3 linked regions of the Ovis aries genome follow. The protein of the gene in region 2 purifies or fractionates together with the protein of the main gene of each other region. This does not show direct contact. Links are inferred from orthologs where the notes say so. Each region holds a gene or a part of one and is shown on either strand. Other genes may lie near its edges. The genes, in order: ZZZ3, MBIP and KAT2B.

Evidence for each region.
Region 1: the proteins of MBIP (region 2) and ZZZ3 purify together in Homo sapiens (affinity purification with mass spectrometry; 4 studies listed by BioGRID and IntAct, counting the BioPlex papers as one, with this or other methods). This does not show direct contact. The link is inferred for Ovis aries from reciprocal best matches to the Homo sapiens genes MBIP and ZZZ3.
Region 3: the proteins of MBIP (region 2) and KAT2B purify together in Homo sapiens (affinity purification with mass spectrometry; 4 studies listed by BioGRID and IntAct, counting the BioPlex papers as one, with this or other methods). This does not show direct contact. The link is inferred for Ovis aries from reciprocal best matches to the Homo sapiens genes MBIP and KAT2B.

What each region holds. Positions count from the first base shown.
Region 1 is NC_056054.1:54,078,651-54,083,029, forward strand, and holds the start of ZZZ3 (ZZ-type zinc finger-containing protein 3), read right to left. Parts: upstream 2,943-4,379; 5' UTR 2,892-2,942; coding exon 1,387-2,891; intron 1-1,386.
Region 2 is NC_056071.1:44,223,036-44,225,840, forward strand, and holds the end of MBIP (MAP3K12-binding inhibitory protein 1), read right to left. Parts: intron 1,688-2,805; exon of another isoform or gene 1,110-1,687; coding exon 1,002-1,109; 3' UTR 575-1,001; downstream 1-574. UniProt on the Homo sapiens protein: Inhibits the MAP3K12 activity to induce the activation of the JNK/SAPK pathway. Component of the ATAC complex, a complex with histone acetyltransferase activity on histones H3 and H4.
Region 3 is NC_056054.1:278,352,752-278,356,404, forward strand, and holds part of KAT2B (histone acetyltransferase KAT2B), read left to right. Parts: intron 1-264; coding exon 265-390; intron 391-2,670; coding exon 2,671-2,807; intron 2,808-3,653. UniProt on the Homo sapiens protein: Functions as a histone acetyltransferase (HAT) to promote transcriptional activation. Has significant histone acetyltransferase activity with core histones (H3 and H4), and also with nucleosome core particles.

The sequences.
Region 1 (4,379 bases), on a different chromosome or scaffold from region 2:
AAAACTGATACATGTGTACTAATGGTAAGAACTCAACTCATCTCAAATTGAAAAAAACTTCACTTAATGAATTGTTTTTTCACCTCACAATGGACTTCAAACATTTCAAATATATGAAAATGCTAATAGTTCCACAAAATAAGTAAAATGCTCAGACAAAATGATCTATTGAACACAATATTAAAATGCTATTTATAAAGAAAACAGAAGGAAGTTTTCAGAAATGAGATCTATGCTAAAAGACTACCATGTTATCAAATACAAATCTAAACTATTTATAAGGCATGGTAAAAGATTATTATATTCTACAAGCAGGATTTGATAACTTTCATCCAATATATAGCCGACTCTGACAACTGTCAGAACAAAAATATTAAAAAGGTTCCTTTAAATAAGTACTTTACACAGTCTAGATATCTGGTTGTGATAATAATTCAAAAGCCTATTCTGTAGAAGTAAAATTGATTAACTCATATATATGTCTGTCTTTTACTGCTGCTGATCATATTTATGATAAACACTTTTGTTAACAGTTCCTTTCCTGATTTAGACAAAGTGAGCTCCAATTCTTTTGTGTTACTGCCCAGAATACAGTATAGAAAATCTAAGCAAAACCGTGATTAATCTGGACAGTGAATTCTTCATTTTAAAAAGTACCTTTATGACAAAGTTGAGAACAAATAGTATTTTAAGATAGTCTCCCTATAATTTAGAATTAGGAAAACCCTTTCTCAAATGCTTTATGTAAACTATAGAGTAGACTGACTCTTGCTAATAAGACAATTACAACATACAGTTAGCTGTCACAGTACTGACAGTAATACTTCTCTACATCACAAAAGTCAATGATGATGCATAAAGCACATTTTTTAAATCAAAAGTTTTAACTGGAAATTATAAGTAACTAAGATAAATGTAGATTTGCAGCCTGCCAGATTTCCCTTATTTGGATGATGTCTATGTACTCATTAATTATTCTACATTCTATGGAAGGCATATACAATTCATAATGCTCTATAACTATAAATCAAAGTATACTGGGAAAACTAAAGAGGTTTCCATTTTATAAATTAACTCAAATGATAAAAAACTTATGAATAAGTAAAACACTATCAACCATGTTTCCACATGTCTAACTGAGATGTGTGAAATCTCAAAACTATAAAATTACATCGCCATTGAGAAGACTACTAATAAAACTGGATTTTACTTTTTTTTTTGAAGATTTTTTAAGAGTTGAGAATATCATTGTGTGAAACCCAAAATTTCAGTTAAAAGCATTAATTTTAGCTATAATAAAAATGCTACAGACATTTATGAATAGAGACTAAAAACTTAGGGAATAATAAACAAAGCAGAATTCATGGTTACCATATTTACACATACTCTTTGTTGTGTTTCAGTGCCACATGATCTGATTCAAAGTAATAAACATCAGGATCATCATCTTCCTCTTCTGTAATGTGCGGATTGGCACTCTCTTTGGCAGATGGCAAATGTCCAATATTGAGTCTTGCCTCTGAGGATGGCTTACTTAGTCCTTCACTCCCATAATTTTTAGAGTCACAACATACGCCTTTTTCACTGTGAGAAACTTCACCAGGATTTGTGAGAGACTCACTTATATTATCACTAACAGTTGCATTTGTTTCACTGGGATTGAGATTATTCTCCTCAAATTGTCCATTTTCTCTGCAAGGAGAATTGTTTTTAGTGGGACTACCTCTGGTAGGGGCTGCCCTCCGTGGTGAAGTTCTCAGAGTATACCGATGTTCTTGAGGTTCTGATAAAGACATCATTTGAGTCGAAACACAGTCTAGAACAGAAGATGGTTCTGGTTCTCCGGAGACTGGCATACTCTCAAGACTTGTGTCCAGGGCATTATTGGTGCTCTCATTACACTGCTCCTTTGAGGCACTGCTATCTCCCACCACATCTACTTCCTCCTCAGAATCCCTTAAAGATGAATGAATTTCAGAAAAGGGGCCTGTAGCTGGCTCAGTAGTCAGCTGATTAACATGTTCCACCGGCAGGCAGGCAGTTACTACTTTGTGGTCCTCCAACTTGACCTGCACTTCTGAATCTGTGCAAGGCACGTTATGGTTTATATAACCGTCTTCCTTCCTACTATCAAGGAACATTGAAGCGTGGGTATCCGAATCCCCATTTTCAGCTACTGATTTCTCCTGCAACACATAGGAACCAGTGCTATTTTGTTTAGTGTTCCCATCAGGCTGACAGTCATCACAGTTTATAACAGCTGAATCACTGTCATCAACACCATTGACAGCCAAATAGCCTGTGATTTCTTCAACTACTGTAGAATCAAGTGGCCCTTCCTCACTTACATTCACCTTTTTAATTTCCCTTTTCTCACAATCATCCAGTATAAGACATCGACAAGCTCGTTTAGTCCCTTGAAAATCTGCATCATTGTCCACTACTGTACGCCTCTGTTCTACTGACTCCTTGTCTGATTTTATAGGTGAATCTTCTTCTGAACTGTTTGGTGCTTCAGATCTAAGGCAACGCTTAATTCTTTTTAAAACTGGTGAAACAGGTTCTGTTTGCCTTCTCTCACAATTTTCTACAGCCTGCCTTTCTATGTTATCTTTTTCTGAAGAAGGAAGTCCTCTTTTCCTAGGGCTTACCCATGACTCTCGAGCATTCTGCTGTTTTATATCAGTAGTTCTTCCATTATTATTTCCTTTCTGAATTTGCACAGGCTCTGGTCTCTTCTTTGGTGATCTTGATCGTACTTGAGAATGAGAAGAGATTTCTTCAGGATGAGCAATGCTACGATTCCTTAAAGTTCTACCACAAAAAGATTCATCCAAGCCGTTTAACCCCACTGTTGATCTTGTAACACGAGTAGATCGGGAAGCAGCCATACTATGGCAAGTCCCTACAATACGGTCATCATGATCCACTCATTGGGAAACCTTCAAAAACGTAAACAAAATAATGAGAAAAAGGTAATAGTTAATATCCTAAAACAAAAGTATAAAACTATAACTTTTTAATCCAGGTATAGCCAATATTAATAAATAATGTGATATAATTTATTTTATTAACATTTCCAAAAGTGTTAATAATAGCTAACAATTATAAGGCACTTATGTTTTAGGGATCTCTATGCTTTAAATACGTTAACTCACTTAAGTCTAACAGCAATTAGAATAAGTACTTATTGGGACTTCCCTGGTGATTCAGGGGCTAAGACTCTGCACTCCCAAAGCAGGGGGCCCAGGTTCGATCCCTGGTCAGGGAACTAGATCCCACATGCAACTAAGACCTGGTGGAGCCAAAGAAAGAAAGAAAGAGAAAGTACTTATTATCACTCATACTTCATGTATGAAGAGACTGAAGCATATACAGTTTAAGTAATATGTCCAAAACCACGCAGCTAGTGAGCTCTTCACCCTTCTCACTGTGTATCTGTTTCTCAGATATTCAGGGGCAAAAGGCCCAGAAAGATCCCTCTCAAAGACAGGACTTCACCTTGGTTATTAAAATAATAACCTCAAATTTATACAACAGCTATCACATAAACTAACCCAATCACTTCTCATGTTTTCTCAAAACATTTCTGGGAGGTAAAAAGACAGGCTCTGCTCTTTCTAATTCACTCTTACGAAAATGAGTTTCAGGTCAAATCTTTTGATAACAAACTACATGGTACCTAAAAAATTTGGATTGCAGTAGAATTTTCTGTAACTAAGCAGATGGATAGAAATCATAACCCTAGGTTGTACTGAATACTTGCTAAGAGCAATACAGAGCAAAGTCAAGACACCCTAGTCTCTAGAAGTAGAACTACAAATTAGCAAGTGAAAGGAAGTATTCTAAAGAGGATAGAAGAAAAAGGGAAAGAAGCACACCCGCCAAACATGCACTACATTTAAGAAATCAAGAAGACACATATAACCCATTTTTTCCTTCTCTGAACTCCTGAGTATATGTGTATGTCACAGTATTAACGCATGTTGAGGATATGAGCAGGTTCGTGTGGATGTTCTGCTGTTTCTATTGATATAATACAAATGAGCAGAAAATAGAATACTGCCCTGTTTTATCCATCTTGATAAACTGAGTGATTTAGTGATTATTTTCCAAGGTTCTCCCAACAAGCAGAATAAAGAAGCTATTAAGAATCCAAGTCTCCATTTTTCTGCACCTGTTTAGCCTTCAAAACATACTTTGTCACTTCACTGCCTAACTTCCAATGGAGTGCAGGATGGACAGACAAAGCAGCCAGTAATGGGTGTAGGACATAGCTGCCCAGGACCCTCTTCCCTCCTCCCTTTTGCCGGCCTTCCCACAGGCTCACTCTCCTTTAACTCTCCAAATGCCATTCTACCCCCTCTCCCCACAAATCA
Region 2 (2,805 bases):
AATAAAAGGTATGTGTGTGTGCTGTGCTCAGTCTTGTCTGACTCTCTGAGACCCCATGAACTGTAGCCTGCCAGACTCTTCTGCCCATGGAATTTTCTGGGCAAGAATAGTGGAGTGGGTTGCCATTTCCTTCTCCAGGGGATCTTCCCGACCCAGCGATGGAACCCACCTCTCTTGAGCCTCCTGCATTGACAGGCGGATTCTTTACCACTGCACCACCTGGGAGAAGGCAATGGCACCCCACTCCAGTACTCTTGCCTGGAAAATCCCATGGACAGAGGAGCCTGGTAGGCTGCAGTCCATGAGGTCGCTGAGAGTCGGACACGACTGAGCAACTTCACTTTGACTTTTCACTTTCGTGCATTGGAGAAAGAAACGGCAACCCACTCCAGTGTTCTTGCCTGGAGAATCCCAGGGACGGGGGAGCCTGGTGGGCTGCCGTCTATGGGGTCGCACAGAGTCAGACACGACTGAAGTGACTTAGCAGCAGCAGCACCACCTGGGAAGCCCTAAAAGGTATGATCTATTTATTTAGATTAAATTGACACTTGGAAAAGAATATATGCACTTAAAATTCATTTCAAACTTTTACTGAATGCCTATTATGTACAAAGTACTGTTTTAAACTAAAACTGGTTAACATCAATGTTAAAAATACAAAGTCGTCTTAAACATCACTATTCAAAATAAATCTTCCTTTCTGTGATAAACACACATACACACAAAGATGTACTTTCTAATTAAGGTTTTCAATTTTCAAAATACCTCCTTTAAAACAGAAGGGAATAAATTCCAACAATGCTACTTTCAACGCATTAACTATCTTAAAGTATACTGGAATATTTGAAGACTGCTTGCAACAAAATGGACTCACGTGAAAATGAACCTTGATTTCAGAGGTAAGTCTACTATTAATAAAAACACTGCAATTAATTAAATAGATATGTAAGTTACACACATATCTAAAAAAATAAAATGACAATGAGAAGGAGAGGAGTTTTTCATGGAAGGTGACGTGTCCCCATGGATTCTGTTTCTCTTGATTTTCTGAGCAGAGCTTGTTTGAGGGCGCTAATTTTCTCATCAAGTTCAGCCAGTGAATAGTTCTGCTGTAAACAATAACACAAATTGCCGAGTAAGACTTTTAATGAAGGTAACCTGCTAAATGTACTATATAAATACATAAAATATCCAAAAGCATGGTAAATAACTCTCATGAGAATAATTTTTAAATTGAACCATATATGTTGACTATGCTATAAATTTAAAGGCATAAAACAACAAGGCTTAAGTATTTCTTACTTTTCGTAATTTCTTAATTTTCTAATGACTAAGCTATCTTGGACCTTTTCTACTTTGAAAGGGTCATAAAAACATTTTTTCAACTGCCTATTCTCATAGTCAATAGTAAAAAGGAAAAGTTTTAGTTTAATTGGTTAAAGTAACTGGGAATTCTCTTTTGATAGCCAAGGTAGTTGATTGCAGTTAATCTAAAAAAAAAAAAAAGTGGACACTCAAATTTCAAAGTTTTACAATTAAAAATAGAAGGGGATCAAGATTGCAAAGGATGTGGAGCTCACCTCCGCAAACAATCAAAATATACATGTGGAACAACTATCACAGAAAATTAACTGGAAATGGCAGAATTATACAACCAAAGCTGCAAGAAAGATCTCTACGAAACCAGGTAATACAGAAAAACCAAACATCAGGTCAGAACTTGTGCCCCTGGGATGGATATGTAAGGAAGAGAAGGTTTCCAAGGGAGGAACGCTGGCACTGGGGAGGGAGCAAGCAGGCTAAGCCATAATCTGGGAATTCCAGTCCTGGGGTCCTGCACAGGGGCGACAAGCCCCCACACCTGCTGGGAAATCCACTGCGACAGACAGAAGGGCTGGTGAAGCCTAGACTCTACAGCGAGGAGCACTTGTGCTGGATTCCCAATAATCATGGTGCAGAGAGCCTCGCACTGGCAGATGCTGCCTTGCTAGATCTCTCAATCTAAAGAGGTGAACACCGCCAGCCTCCTTCACTCCATACCACAGCCTGCTAGATCTGGGCCAAACAAACACTGGGAAAAGACTGTTCAGCTATGCAGAAACAGAAAAGGGTGCCAAGAGTATGACTGGGGTGGGAAGGAGGTGGCCACTGTCAGAGCACTCAGGAACACAGTGGTTTGTCTCCCAGCATGTCCACTCCACACTGCAGCTTAGAGTTGAGCTTTGGGCACTAACAGAAGAGCCACAGAGAAAGTCCAAATCCTGGACAGCAGAGCAGCCACCTCAGTTCCTACACTCACCATGCTCTGGCCTCCTCCATACCTTTGCACTAGATCTGGGACAAATACAAAAATAAGCCACAATAAAGGAATGAAATTTTGCCATTTGCAACCATACAGATGGACCCGGAGGGTAATATGCTAAGTGAAGCAAGTCAGACAGAAAAAGACAACTGCTGTATGATAACACTTATATGTGGAAAAAGAACAAACTACCAGTGGGGAGAGGGAAGGTGCAAGATAGGAGTAGGAGCCTAACAGATACAGGCTTCTATGTACGAAATAAGCTACATTGACATACTGCACAGCACATGGAATATAACCAATATTTTATAATAACTAAGTGGAGTATAACCTGTAAAAAATAATCTATTAAATGTTGAAATGATAATACTGGATAAACATAAAATTTTAAAGATTCAATTAATACAGTAGTACTGTGAACAGGGGTGGACTAAAGTTAACTTTGCCAGACACCTTTTTTGACTTAGATGCTAATTAGCGGTATCTGCAGAAGGAAAGCGGGT
Region 3 (3,653 bases), on a different chromosome or scaffold from region 2:
CTGTAAGGAGAGTTTTACCTTCTCTCCATTACTTATTTGTTCATTTCTTATTTTATCACTTTGGACTCAGATGTCTTAATTTTATCCAGTGGGTTGTAACTACCCTTGTCTTTATCATCAAGCTCACACTGGCCACATGGCTTCTGTCTTAGAGATGACGTCTTCGGGTGCTGGGCAGGAATGGAATGCTCTCGCGTACACTTGGTTCATTACTACCCAAGAAAGACGGCATTTAATGCCTTCTCTTCCTTCTCCTGGGGGCAGTTATCAGTCCACCTCCTGTGGCCGGGACAGTTTCCTACAATTCGAGTTCCGCTTCCCTTGAGCAGCAGAACGGAGGGAGCACCAGCCCATCCTGTCGAGGCGCGTCCGGGCTTGAGGCAAACCCAGGTAAGCTCGGAGGGCACCAGCGAGGGCTGTGATTCCCGAGAAGCTCCGTTATCTGAGGAGTGCCAAAGGGAGCCTTAAGTCAACTGCGTGCTGTGCGTGTCAAGGATCTTAATGGCTGGAACTCCCTCTGGGCTGCATTGGCTAGTTATTGCTGTGTAACAAGCCAACTTGAAATGCAGAGTCTCAAACTGTGATCCTTTATCGTCACAGCTCACTCATTCTGTGTGCTGCCTAGGAGGTGGCTGATAAGGCTCGACTCCGACAGGCTGTGCTTGCATAGTTCTCGTCCTCCTTTGAGGACCACCGGGTGTCTTTTCCTTTCCTTGGGGCAGAATGCGTCCTTATGATGATGGCAGAGGCACCAGAAAGCAGGCAGAAATGCAGTTTCCTGCAGCTTAAGCTTGTAGCTGGTGCTCCGTGACGCCTGCCTTATTTTGTCATCGGAAGCGAATCACGTGGTCAGACTCAGAGTCAAGGGGTGGGGAGATGGCCTTGACGCCTTTTGTAGGAAGAGCCACAGAATCATATGGCAGAAGCTGGAGGCAGGAGGGGAAAGAATTTGGCCGTGAATGTAATCTGCCACATGGGCAAAAAAATCTCTTAGTGCTAGAGGTGTTTCGCAGTTATAGAATGTTCCAGAGGATGCATTTGTGTCCACAGCCGTGACATGAGACACATCTTGGCACAAGCAAAGTTTGACACTGAGAGGTGTCATGAAATGGGGAGAGAACAGGGTTTTCTGTGAAGGACTAAGCGGGCAGCACTGGGGCCACTTCCAAGGGGGACGCTGCTGATCATTCTAGAAGCTCTGCCGTTGAACTCGGATGTAGCCCAGGGTGCTTTCTTATTGCAGCACTCAGCAAGCTATCAAGTTTGGAGCATATTGGGTATAAGTCTCAGCTCCAAAATAAATAGTTCACACCATTATTCTGGTGGAATTGTGGGATTTGAAGCGTTGGTCAAATGAAGGAAAATATTCTCACTCACCTCCAATAATAACAACTAAAAAGTTATAAAAACACGAACTCAACAAAAGTTGTTTTAGTAAGAAGCCTCATTTGGAAAAGCAACTTGTATGGACGAGATGCTTGACGTTGCCCTGCTGCTGTTTAGCTCAAGATGGAGCGAATGCTGTATGGAGCCTGCTTACTGGAATTCACACCTGAGGAATAAATTAGATTTGAGCATTTAAAAATTTAATTGTAAAAATAAATAAATTATGACAGAACGGGAAGAAAACAAAAAACCAGACATCATGCCAGTAGGACAGAAAGCAGCCAGGTAATCTAAGGAGTAGAGTGGGAGAGCCTTCTCCCTGCTTTCGCCGGGCCTTTCCCAGCTTGTGATACATTGTGACATCCTGGGAATGAATGTGCCTGCTTCCAAGGCCAGGGCCCTGCTCACTTTGTGAGGCATCATTTTAAGGCAAAAAAGGATTAGGAGAGATCATGAGGGTCAGTTTGTAATGACAAAAATTAAATTCACCAGCAAAGTGAAACAGTTCATGGGTGTATTTCCAGTATATGTAGACACACACACATATACAACATACACTGTACATACAACACATATACACTGCACAACATACACATACACGTCCATGCACATGTATGAAAGACTTTCCAGAACTACAAGGAGAAACGACCCACCAGAAGTTGAACACTTGAAGAAACATCTCTGATTAATTCATAGATCAAACAAACAACACTGTCAGAAGATGCTTAGTGTACAAACAGTTGGTCAAGTTTTAGGTCATAACTCGCGTTTCAGGCAGTTTTGGCCTTTGTTATCATAAGGACCATATTCTTCTGGCCACAAAGGGACAATTAGTCTCCAACATGGAGATTAACAGCCAGTGGTAATTAGACTCAGCCTTCAGTGTGCACATGAAGAGGCTGCGCTTTAATAGCTCACATGTCAAGTTGGAACCTTAGTGTAGAGAGCAGTTGCTCTTCAGAATGGTGGGCACTTGGGGGACTGTGGGCCAGCAGCTAAGACTCTGTGTCCCAGTGCAGGGGGCAGAGATTCACTCCCTGCTCAAGGAAGTCCCACATGCTGCCCAGCCAATAAAGAAAGAAAGTGGGAAAAAAAAGAATGGTGGGCAGTTCCTGCGAAAAGAGTTACCTCCTCTTTCCCGCCTTCTGCCGCGCCGCTTCTCCCTGGTACAGGGGGGGTTGATGTCCACACCTTTCAGTGATATTAGAAAATCGGTTGGATTAGTCGGCACGTGCTTTGTGTTTGAAATAACCCATCGTTTGCCCTTTTGTTTTGGTCATCAAGGAGAAAAGAGGAAAATGAGCGACTCCCATGTTTTGGAGGAGACCAAGAAGCCCCGGGTGCTGGGCGACATCCCACCGGAGCTGATCCGCGAGGCCATGTCCGCCATCACAGACCCCGCGGCGACGCTGGCGCCGGAGGTCAGCAGGGGGCGCGCGAGCCGCCCGCGGGTGGGCCCCGGGGCTCCGCAGCCGCTCGCGCTGTCGGGGGTGGGGCGGAGTTGCTGGATGCTCAGGGCTGAGAGGCGGGCAGGCGGATGAGAGGTTAATTCTGCTGATGACGGCCGTGTTGTGGGGAAACATAATCTCCGCCATTGAAGGCATTCCTCCTGCTTCAACTTTTTATCTTGAAAAATTTAAACCCTCATGAATGTTGCAAACATTCCGTGGTAAAGACCCAGAGGCTCTTTATTTAGACTCACAAACGGCTTGCATGCCACGCTCACTATCCCTCTGTCTCCCTTTGCTGTGACCGTGTGGAGCCATTTCAGAGGTAGATACAGATGTTGTAACGTTTCACCCCTTACTGTTTTTTGCACATGTCTCTGAAGACTGAGACTGCTCATTTGCATTCCCACAGTGTACTTATCACTACCAGAAACTTCAGCTGGATTACAGTATTAGCTAATGTGTGGATAGGCAGTCCACAGCCTGGGCACCAAATCCTGTCCACTTCTGGTTTTATAAATAGAGTTTTATCGAAGTACGTCCACAAAGCCTAAGATATTTGTCACCTGGCCCTTTCTCAAAAAGTTTGCTTAGAGTCATATTCAGTTCAGTTCAGTTCAGTCGCTCAGTCGTGTCTGACTCTTTGCGACCCCATGAATCGCAGCACGCCAGGCCTCCCTGTCCATCACCAACTCCCCGAGTTCACTCAGACTCATGTCCATCGAGTCTGTGATGTTACTCTTGGCCTAATGTACAGCCCATATCCAGATTGCCCATCTGCCCTAATTCTGTTGTTTATGGTATCTATTCCTGTTGTTG